Linked DNA regions of Oryctolagus cuniculus. The protein of the gene in region 2 purifies or fractionates together with the protein of the main gene of each other region. This does not show direct contact. Links are inferred from orthologs where the notes say so. Each region holds a gene or a part of one and is shown on either strand. Other genes may lie near its edges.

Region 1 (3,827 bases), on a different chromosome or scaffold from region 2:
AAAACTCCAGACGCCTACGCTGTGATTGAGTCACATACGTTTGGGACAAGGCCCAGACATCTTCATTTGTAATCCGCACACCCCCGACCCGCCCGCCATGCTCTGATGCAGGCAGTTCCACCTTCAGCTCTGCCAAAGCACACATCACCAGCACACCGGGCACACTGCCCCACTCTACCACTCACCCTCGAGGGCAACTCCAGGTCAGCAACGAGCTGAGACGACACGTGTACATCTGATCATGGAGGTGAGCACTCGCTCACCTCGCTCCCAGCGTTCTGCTCAGAGTCCGCGTGCCATCTACTCTAACGTACACCGAATAAAAGCAACACTTATGAACTCCATGTAAATTCTGAAGGTGAGCAAATTACTTTATTTCTGAGGCCTGACAGCATTGACTTTGTTATACAAGAACCTGCAGCTGACAGAACTGACACACAGATTTCCCAACAGGAAGGACTCTTTCTAGTAGCGGAGATGAAATGAAATGTCACGTCTGAGTGCAATTCCTGGGCCCCACCCCACCCCACGTAACCCCCGCAGGGAAAACAGATCAGTAAAATCCCCGATAGTGACTGAAAGTCAGCCCTCCGAACTCTTGTGACAAGCAGCTGCAGCGTGGAAACCAAAGGAGGGAAGCAGCTGGCCACCGTCAGCACCGTCCTGTGCGTGTGAGACTGCAGGGACAGCAGCAGGAGAGGAAGGAGTCTGGATGAGTGGGAGTTGGAGATCCACCTGCCTCTGCCATACCTAAGACACCTCTGTCCCTATACACGGGAAACGCTAAAGGATATGCTAAAGGAGTAGTTTTAGCCTGGGGCCCATTGAGTTCCAAGAAAGGTGTGGGATAAGGGGCACCAGAGAGACAGCAGGTTAGAGAGGCTCAACACTCAAGTCCGTTCCAGTTCAGTGCTGGCCTAACTACCTCGTAATCATAACCACCGTCATGACTAACCCCTATTTTCAAGGTAAGAGAGTGCCATCTCAATTTCTGTGCCTGTGTCTACTGCCACCTCTGGGGTGGCACTGAGATGTTTGTGTGTGACAATACAACTTGGATGGAAGGGAGGAGTCGTGGAAGGCCACAGTGCTTCAGTTACAATGGGCTTGGTCCCCAGAAGGCACGGCCCACCACCACAAGTCATAAAACATTCCTGTCTTCCTCCCCTTTTGGTCTCATGTGAATGTCAAAACTAGAATGGTGAGGAGGGAGTCACTGTTGGACCGCAACTGTCTCTGGCCCCACCTGGTCCATACGCTGACCCTCCTATGAAATTGCACAAGTATTCTCAGCAAAGCTGTAAAGTTATGCCATCCTCAATCCTTTCTCACAGCCAATCCAACAGCTCTGTTCTGACATGCTTTCTCCCTGGGCCGAGGAAGCAGCAAAAAATATCAACTGAGCATGTGAAAATATGATGACAGTGTGTGTGGTGTAATATTTCTCGATGTCTTCACATTCTGTCTCCTCCATGGTGGGAGCCCTCCTGCTCTTCCCCCAAGTCCCACACATACCCCTCCCCTACCCCCAAGTCCAGGTGCTCCCATCTGCTGGGCTTCCAACACTCATTTCCCATAGACACTCTCATCGCTGTAGGCCACATACAGAAAATAGTCTTCCTCATGGTTGTCCTGGGGAAGAGAAAAGAAGACAGCTCAGGACACCTATTCATCTTCATTATTCCTAGGCTTCTGAGCCACACACAGCCTTATTGAATAAGTATGAAGAACATCACTAGCCTCTATTAAAAGAGTAAGCAGAAGTGGTTAAACCTGTGGGTAGAAGATCTCATTCTAATTCTGTCACTCTGCCTTTCAAATAAATAATTTAAAATATTTTTTAAAGTTCATATTAGCAAGGGAAACATACCACAAGACATGTACAGGAATATATATTAATGGAGAAGATACACTATGGAATAGAAGTCCCATTAGAGTTTGTGTCATTACTGAGGCGCCATGAGAAGGCAGCACTCGTGTGAAATCCTTTAAGGAGTACAACAGTTATAATGTTACGTTCAATTTCCAACGTGAGAAAGTGCTTTACTATAGCTTACTCATTAGATTACCAATTAAACCAAGTCAGGTAAGTTATTCTCCCTGAGTTTGTCTCTTAAGATAAATGAATCAAAATGAAGACTTGGCCTTAATTTGCATTTCAATTTCAATTACAATTCACTGTGCCCAGGTAATGGTGAATCTGTTTCATGTTCTTAGCTTTGAACTCAGAAATAAGGAGCTACCCTTGTGTGGCTCTATATGGTTGTCTTAAACCAAAATTTCGGTTTAGAGCTTAAGGTTAGTTTCAGAGCTAGAAGGGGCTAAAATTAACACCATTTGTTTTCTCAAATAAATAGCAATAAAATAATGAACTGAGATCTGAATGCATAGTTTGCTTTCACACTATTTGTCACCAACAAGAAAAAGAGGAACTGCAGTGAATCCATGTTTGGAATCTTTGTTATCAACAACCACTTCCAGTCATTTCAATAAAGACCACTGACATTACAACAGTAGTCAGGCGAGACTGAAGAGAGATTTGTCAGCGGGAATAAATCTAGTCCTGAGGACTGCTTCCCTGCAGGACAAGTGCTGTCTGATCACCCAGAGCCTGACACTGCCATCTGTAAGAGGATCCTGGTAAGTAACACCTTCTGCCCCACTTTCCCAGTGTTATCAACAACTCAGACTGCTCGGAACTGCTGCGACCGGGAGCATTACCTCATACAGCTGGCCCATGGTGGCACTAGTGGGAGGGATGGTGTTGTTGACAAAGAAGAATAAGGCGTCCTCAGGTCTCAGGTGGATCCTCTTCCGGATTAAGAAGTAGAACTGGCCAACTGGATGAAGGAAGAAGGAAAATGAAGGCACGAAGAGCAGAAAACAAGGGATTAAAGGAAGGGTAAATTCTCCTGCACCTGTACCCTCTAGAGTAAGTATCAGCTTTGGAGACCATCTGAGCAGAGCCAACCATCCTCCTGCAGCCTTGGGAATAAAAAGTGAAACACGAGAGGCCCGCAGAGTCCCAAGCGCAACACAGCGGAGTTTACTCCTTCTTTCCCCCATTAATTTCAGACCCACTGTTAGCAGATCCACCCCAAGATTCACCTGATGCACAGGAGTTCTATGTATAGCCAGACCAATCAATCCCATCATTGTCTAAAGCTGACCTGTAACACCCTTCCACCCCCACTTCCCCCAAGACAAACCAGAGATGGAAAGAGGTCTACCAGACCCCAGGAGTCTTAGGGTGGTCACTCAATTCAGTGTGGGGGCACCAAGTGTGAAGTAGTGTGTTACATCTCCTGAGAATTCTGAAAATGTTCTAGAAAGTCAATATTCAAATCTATTAACTCTGGAGCAAGGAGATCTATAATCTTTCAGTGTCTCCTGAACACAGTAGGTATTCCATTAAGGATCAAGGTGAAGATCAAATATGTTCTTTATAATTCCAAACTCAATACAAAACCTATTACAAAACCACATGGCCTGAGGAGATGAGACATCTCACCGATAATCTCTAAACTGTGATCCTCCCAGGAAACTAGGCTGGTACTTCTCCTCAAACAAACTGACATCACAATGGCAAAGCTGATTTAATAGGTGGTTTAAATAATGGACATCTGATCTTTTCCTCCAATGTTTTGGGCTCTTCTGGGGCTGAATCAAACAAGGCACAGTGAAGGGAAATGCTTAAGGGACTTGACATCATTTTTGAGTCAGCCAAGTCTGCGGAGAGCCACACTCAGATCCTTCGACTCCATTCAATACTCTCAATCTCATGATCTCAGGGGACAGAGGGCTTGGGAGAAAAGGGACATTACCGG
Region 2 (3,391 bases):
GGGAGGAAACTTTTGGGGTGGTAGATATATTCACCACCCTTATTGTGGTGATTGATTCTTACCTGAATGCATATGTCAAAACTTAACAACTTATACACATTAAATATGTGCGGTTTATTATATATCAATCATAATTTTAAATGATATAAAATGTAGATTTTCTGCTACTGAAAGAGATGAAGATCTGACACCACTACCATTTTATGAGGCAAGTGCTCTCCCTTTAACCCCCATATTTTCCTAATTTTTTTTAACTCTGGCCTTTAAAATTTATAGGTAATTCTTTGGCCTCTAAAAATATGCAAGTTCCCAATTCTTATTTGAAGTAGCAGACATTTCCTAACACCAACAACACAGAAATAAAACAATAGAATACATTCAATGTGGCAGTCTAATTTCCTTTTGTATTTCAATGTACAACACAAAAATGCAAGTGGTCAGGGCTCAAATCCATTCTCCCAGATAGAACTCCTTTATCATCACCCTTTTGGTGCACATTGTTTAGGAGTTAATGGAGAAGAGGTGTGGGGAAGGAGCAGGTAGGACATCAGACTGATGGTTGCATTCATCTCATTTATAATCTGCATTAACCATAAGAAATAAAGGTATTATCCAGATATTACTGATATGCTAATAAATAATAACATTCCCATGGTAAAATGGCATTTAATAAATAAAACTGAGGTTTTAATCTAGGAATATTATCTGAAAGAACACATTTTTTTCTGTAAATTTTGAGGGTAAAAGGGAATTGATCTAATTGCAAGTCTGAAAGCAATGACTATGAACCCTTCTGAGTGTGCTGTAGTAGAAAGTCTTTTCATTACAAGAGAGGAATAGAAATTACGAACTTACCTCACAGAGGCATTTCCCTAGGGGAAAACACTTCTGTTTTCCACATAGAAACGTAATATTTGTGAAATCCTAAGGCGTAGCCTTTTGAAGGGAGCGGCGTTTTTACCTACACCTCTTTTCTTCTTGCTTTCCAGTGTTGTGTGCATTCTTGTGTCCGCTGTTTAAGTGTAATGATATTGGACAAAGAATATACAGCAAAATCAAGTCAGTTTTGCTGAAGCTAGATTTTGGAATTGGAGAATATATTAACCAGAAGAAACGTGAGAGATCTGGTAGGTAAAGTTTGAAGTTTAGATTCAATGCGTGAAATGAGACATTAGCAGTCTATTTATTATGAAATCACCTTCAATACATTTCAGAAGACGTTTACTAAATATTATAGGAGCTAAGTTCCCCAAAGTTAAATGCACACACACACACACACACACATACACACACAGCCTTTTCCTAGTTAAAGGCTTTTATTTTTTATCTTGAATGTACAATACATAAATAAATTGTTTTTTTAATCCAGACTGTCAGGGGAGGGAAAACAGACTTCAACAACTCTATATTTTGATATTTATTATTTATTGGACTATTACAAAAAAAGGTAGGTCTAAGAATTTGGGAGTCATGTTGAGGGAATTGGAAGAACAGGGAAAGGAAAACTTGCTGCATTTATTTGTTAACTTGGTGTAGGATCTTGGATTCTCAAAGTATGGCATGCATCAGAATCACCTGAAGAATTTGTTAAGGTGAAGATGGCTGGGCCCCACTCCAGAGTTTCTGACTTAGACGAGGGTCCAGCCTGAGCATTTCCAATTCCACGGAGTTCCTGGGGATGAAAAGGCTGCTGTTCACACTCTGAATATGGGACATTTCCTTTGGAAATCAAATATTTTGCAAACATGTGAAGCTTTTTAAGTGCAAAAATTTACTTATATGTAGGCATGAGAAAAAATGAGGAAAACGGGATAGGAATACATAATAGAAGAGTATACTGCGCCTATGTTGGCCAGGAAATTGAAAGCTTCTCATTTTTTTCTCAACAGAAGCAGATAAAGAAAAAAGTCACAAAGATGACAGTGAATTAGACTTTTCAGCTCTTTGTCCTAAGGTATTTTTTGCTTGATTTTCAATTTGTTTCTGTGTGTTTTGACCATCATTTAATTGAAAATCATAGCTGAATGATTTTGCTAATAGACTCCTCCTATTTTATAAGTTGAACAATTTCAAAAGAGAAATAATCATCTGGTTTGTATTATTCTGACCTTTTGAAGGTTATTAGGGAATTTTCCAAAAGGTTTCTCTCTGCAGTTCAAAGTGTGCCATGGTGTTTTTATTAACACAGATTAGCCTCACAGTTGCCGCCAAAGAGTTATCCGTGTCTGACACAGATGTTTCCGAGGTGTCCTGGACGGATAATGGGACCTTCAACCTTTCAGAAGGATATACTCCACAGACAGACACTTCAGACGGTATGCTAATACCCGTGAACAATTTTCTGTTTATCATTTTGCAAAAATATGAATTCTGTCAACTGTTGAATGGATAAATAAAATGAGGTGTGTTCACAACATGGAATATATTACTTGGCTTTAAAACTGAATAATGTACCAGTACTTTCTGCAACCTGGGTGAGCCTTGAAAACACTGCTCAGTGAAAGAAGCCAGACACAAAAGGCCACTTATTGTATAGTTCCAATTATATGAAATGCCCAGAGTACACAAGTCCACATTGAGAGAAAGTAGGTTAGTGGTTGCTGGGAACAGGAGGTCAGGGTCGGGAGAAATGGTGAATGACTGATAGTTGGCACAGGCTCCTTTTCAGAATGATGATGTGTTTTAGATCTAGATGGTTATACATCTTTGTGAATATACTAAAAAAAAAATCACTGAATTGTATACTTTAAAACTGTGAATTTTATGGTACATGAATTATATCTCAAAAGCTAATTTTTTTAAAGTATAAGAAAAAATCTAAGTTAATGTCCAAATCTGCCTTTATTTAAAAGACCAAAAAAAAAAAAAAAAAAAAACCCTGAAAAAAAATTAGCCTCTGAAATGTCTGGCAGCATTGCTTATGGCAAGAACTGGAGAGAAAGCAGCAGCTGATTCTGTGCATTCAACCCTAATTCTGAATTAGGGATTCAAAGGCTTAAAGCATGAATTCCAAAATTTGTCATATTTGTCTTCAAAGTTTAAAACCTTATTTTTTATAATTAGTTAAATTTCGTCTGTAACCCACATATGAAATAACACTTGTGCAATGACTTAGCTGTTGCTAGTCTCCATGGTTTAAGTCATCTCAGCCACTTATTGCTCACATATACATATGAGCAGATTATCACAAAGACACTCTTCTATACTTATTTTCCAAGGATGCACTTTCTTTTCCTATGAGAAGGTAGGACACAGGCTCTGCAGCATTTGAAAGAGGGGTTTGGAGGTTGGGAGACCCAAGTGTATTCTTATTTTTGTCATTAGCTAACTATATGAGCTTGAGCAGGTGACATAATTTCTGTAGGCCTCATTGTCCTCATTTTTAAAGTGG

What was found.
Region 1: the proteins of RETREG1 (region 2) and GABARAPL1 purify together in Homo sapiens (affinity purification with western blotting; 3 studies listed by BioGRID and IntAct, with this or other methods). This does not show direct contact. The link is inferred for Oryctolagus cuniculus from reciprocal best matches to the Homo sapiens genes RETREG1 and GABARAPL1.

Annotation. Positions count from the first base shown.
Region 1 is NC_091440.1:106,922,788-106,926,614, reverse strand, and holds the end of GABARAPL1 (gamma-aminobutyric acid receptor-associated protein-like 1), read right to left. Parts: coding exon 3,825-3,827; intron 2,841-3,824; coding exon 2,722-2,840; intron 1,633-2,721; coding exon 1,567-1,632; 3' UTR 347-1,566; downstream 1-346. UniProt on the Homo sapiens protein: Ubiquitin-like modifier that increases cell-surface expression of kappa-type opioid receptor through facilitating anterograde intracellular trafficking of the receptor. Involved in formation of autophagosomal vacuoles.
Region 2 is NC_091445.1:45,627,204-45,630,594, reverse strand, and holds part of RETREG1 (reticulophagy regulator 1), read left to right. Parts: intron 1-989; coding exon 990-1,127; intron 1,128-1,889; coding exon 1,890-1,954; intron 1,955-2,188; coding exon 2,189-2,315; intron 2,316-3,391. UniProt on the Homo sapiens protein: Endoplasmic reticulum (ER)-anchored autophagy regulator which mediates ER delivery into lysosomes through sequestration into autophagosomes.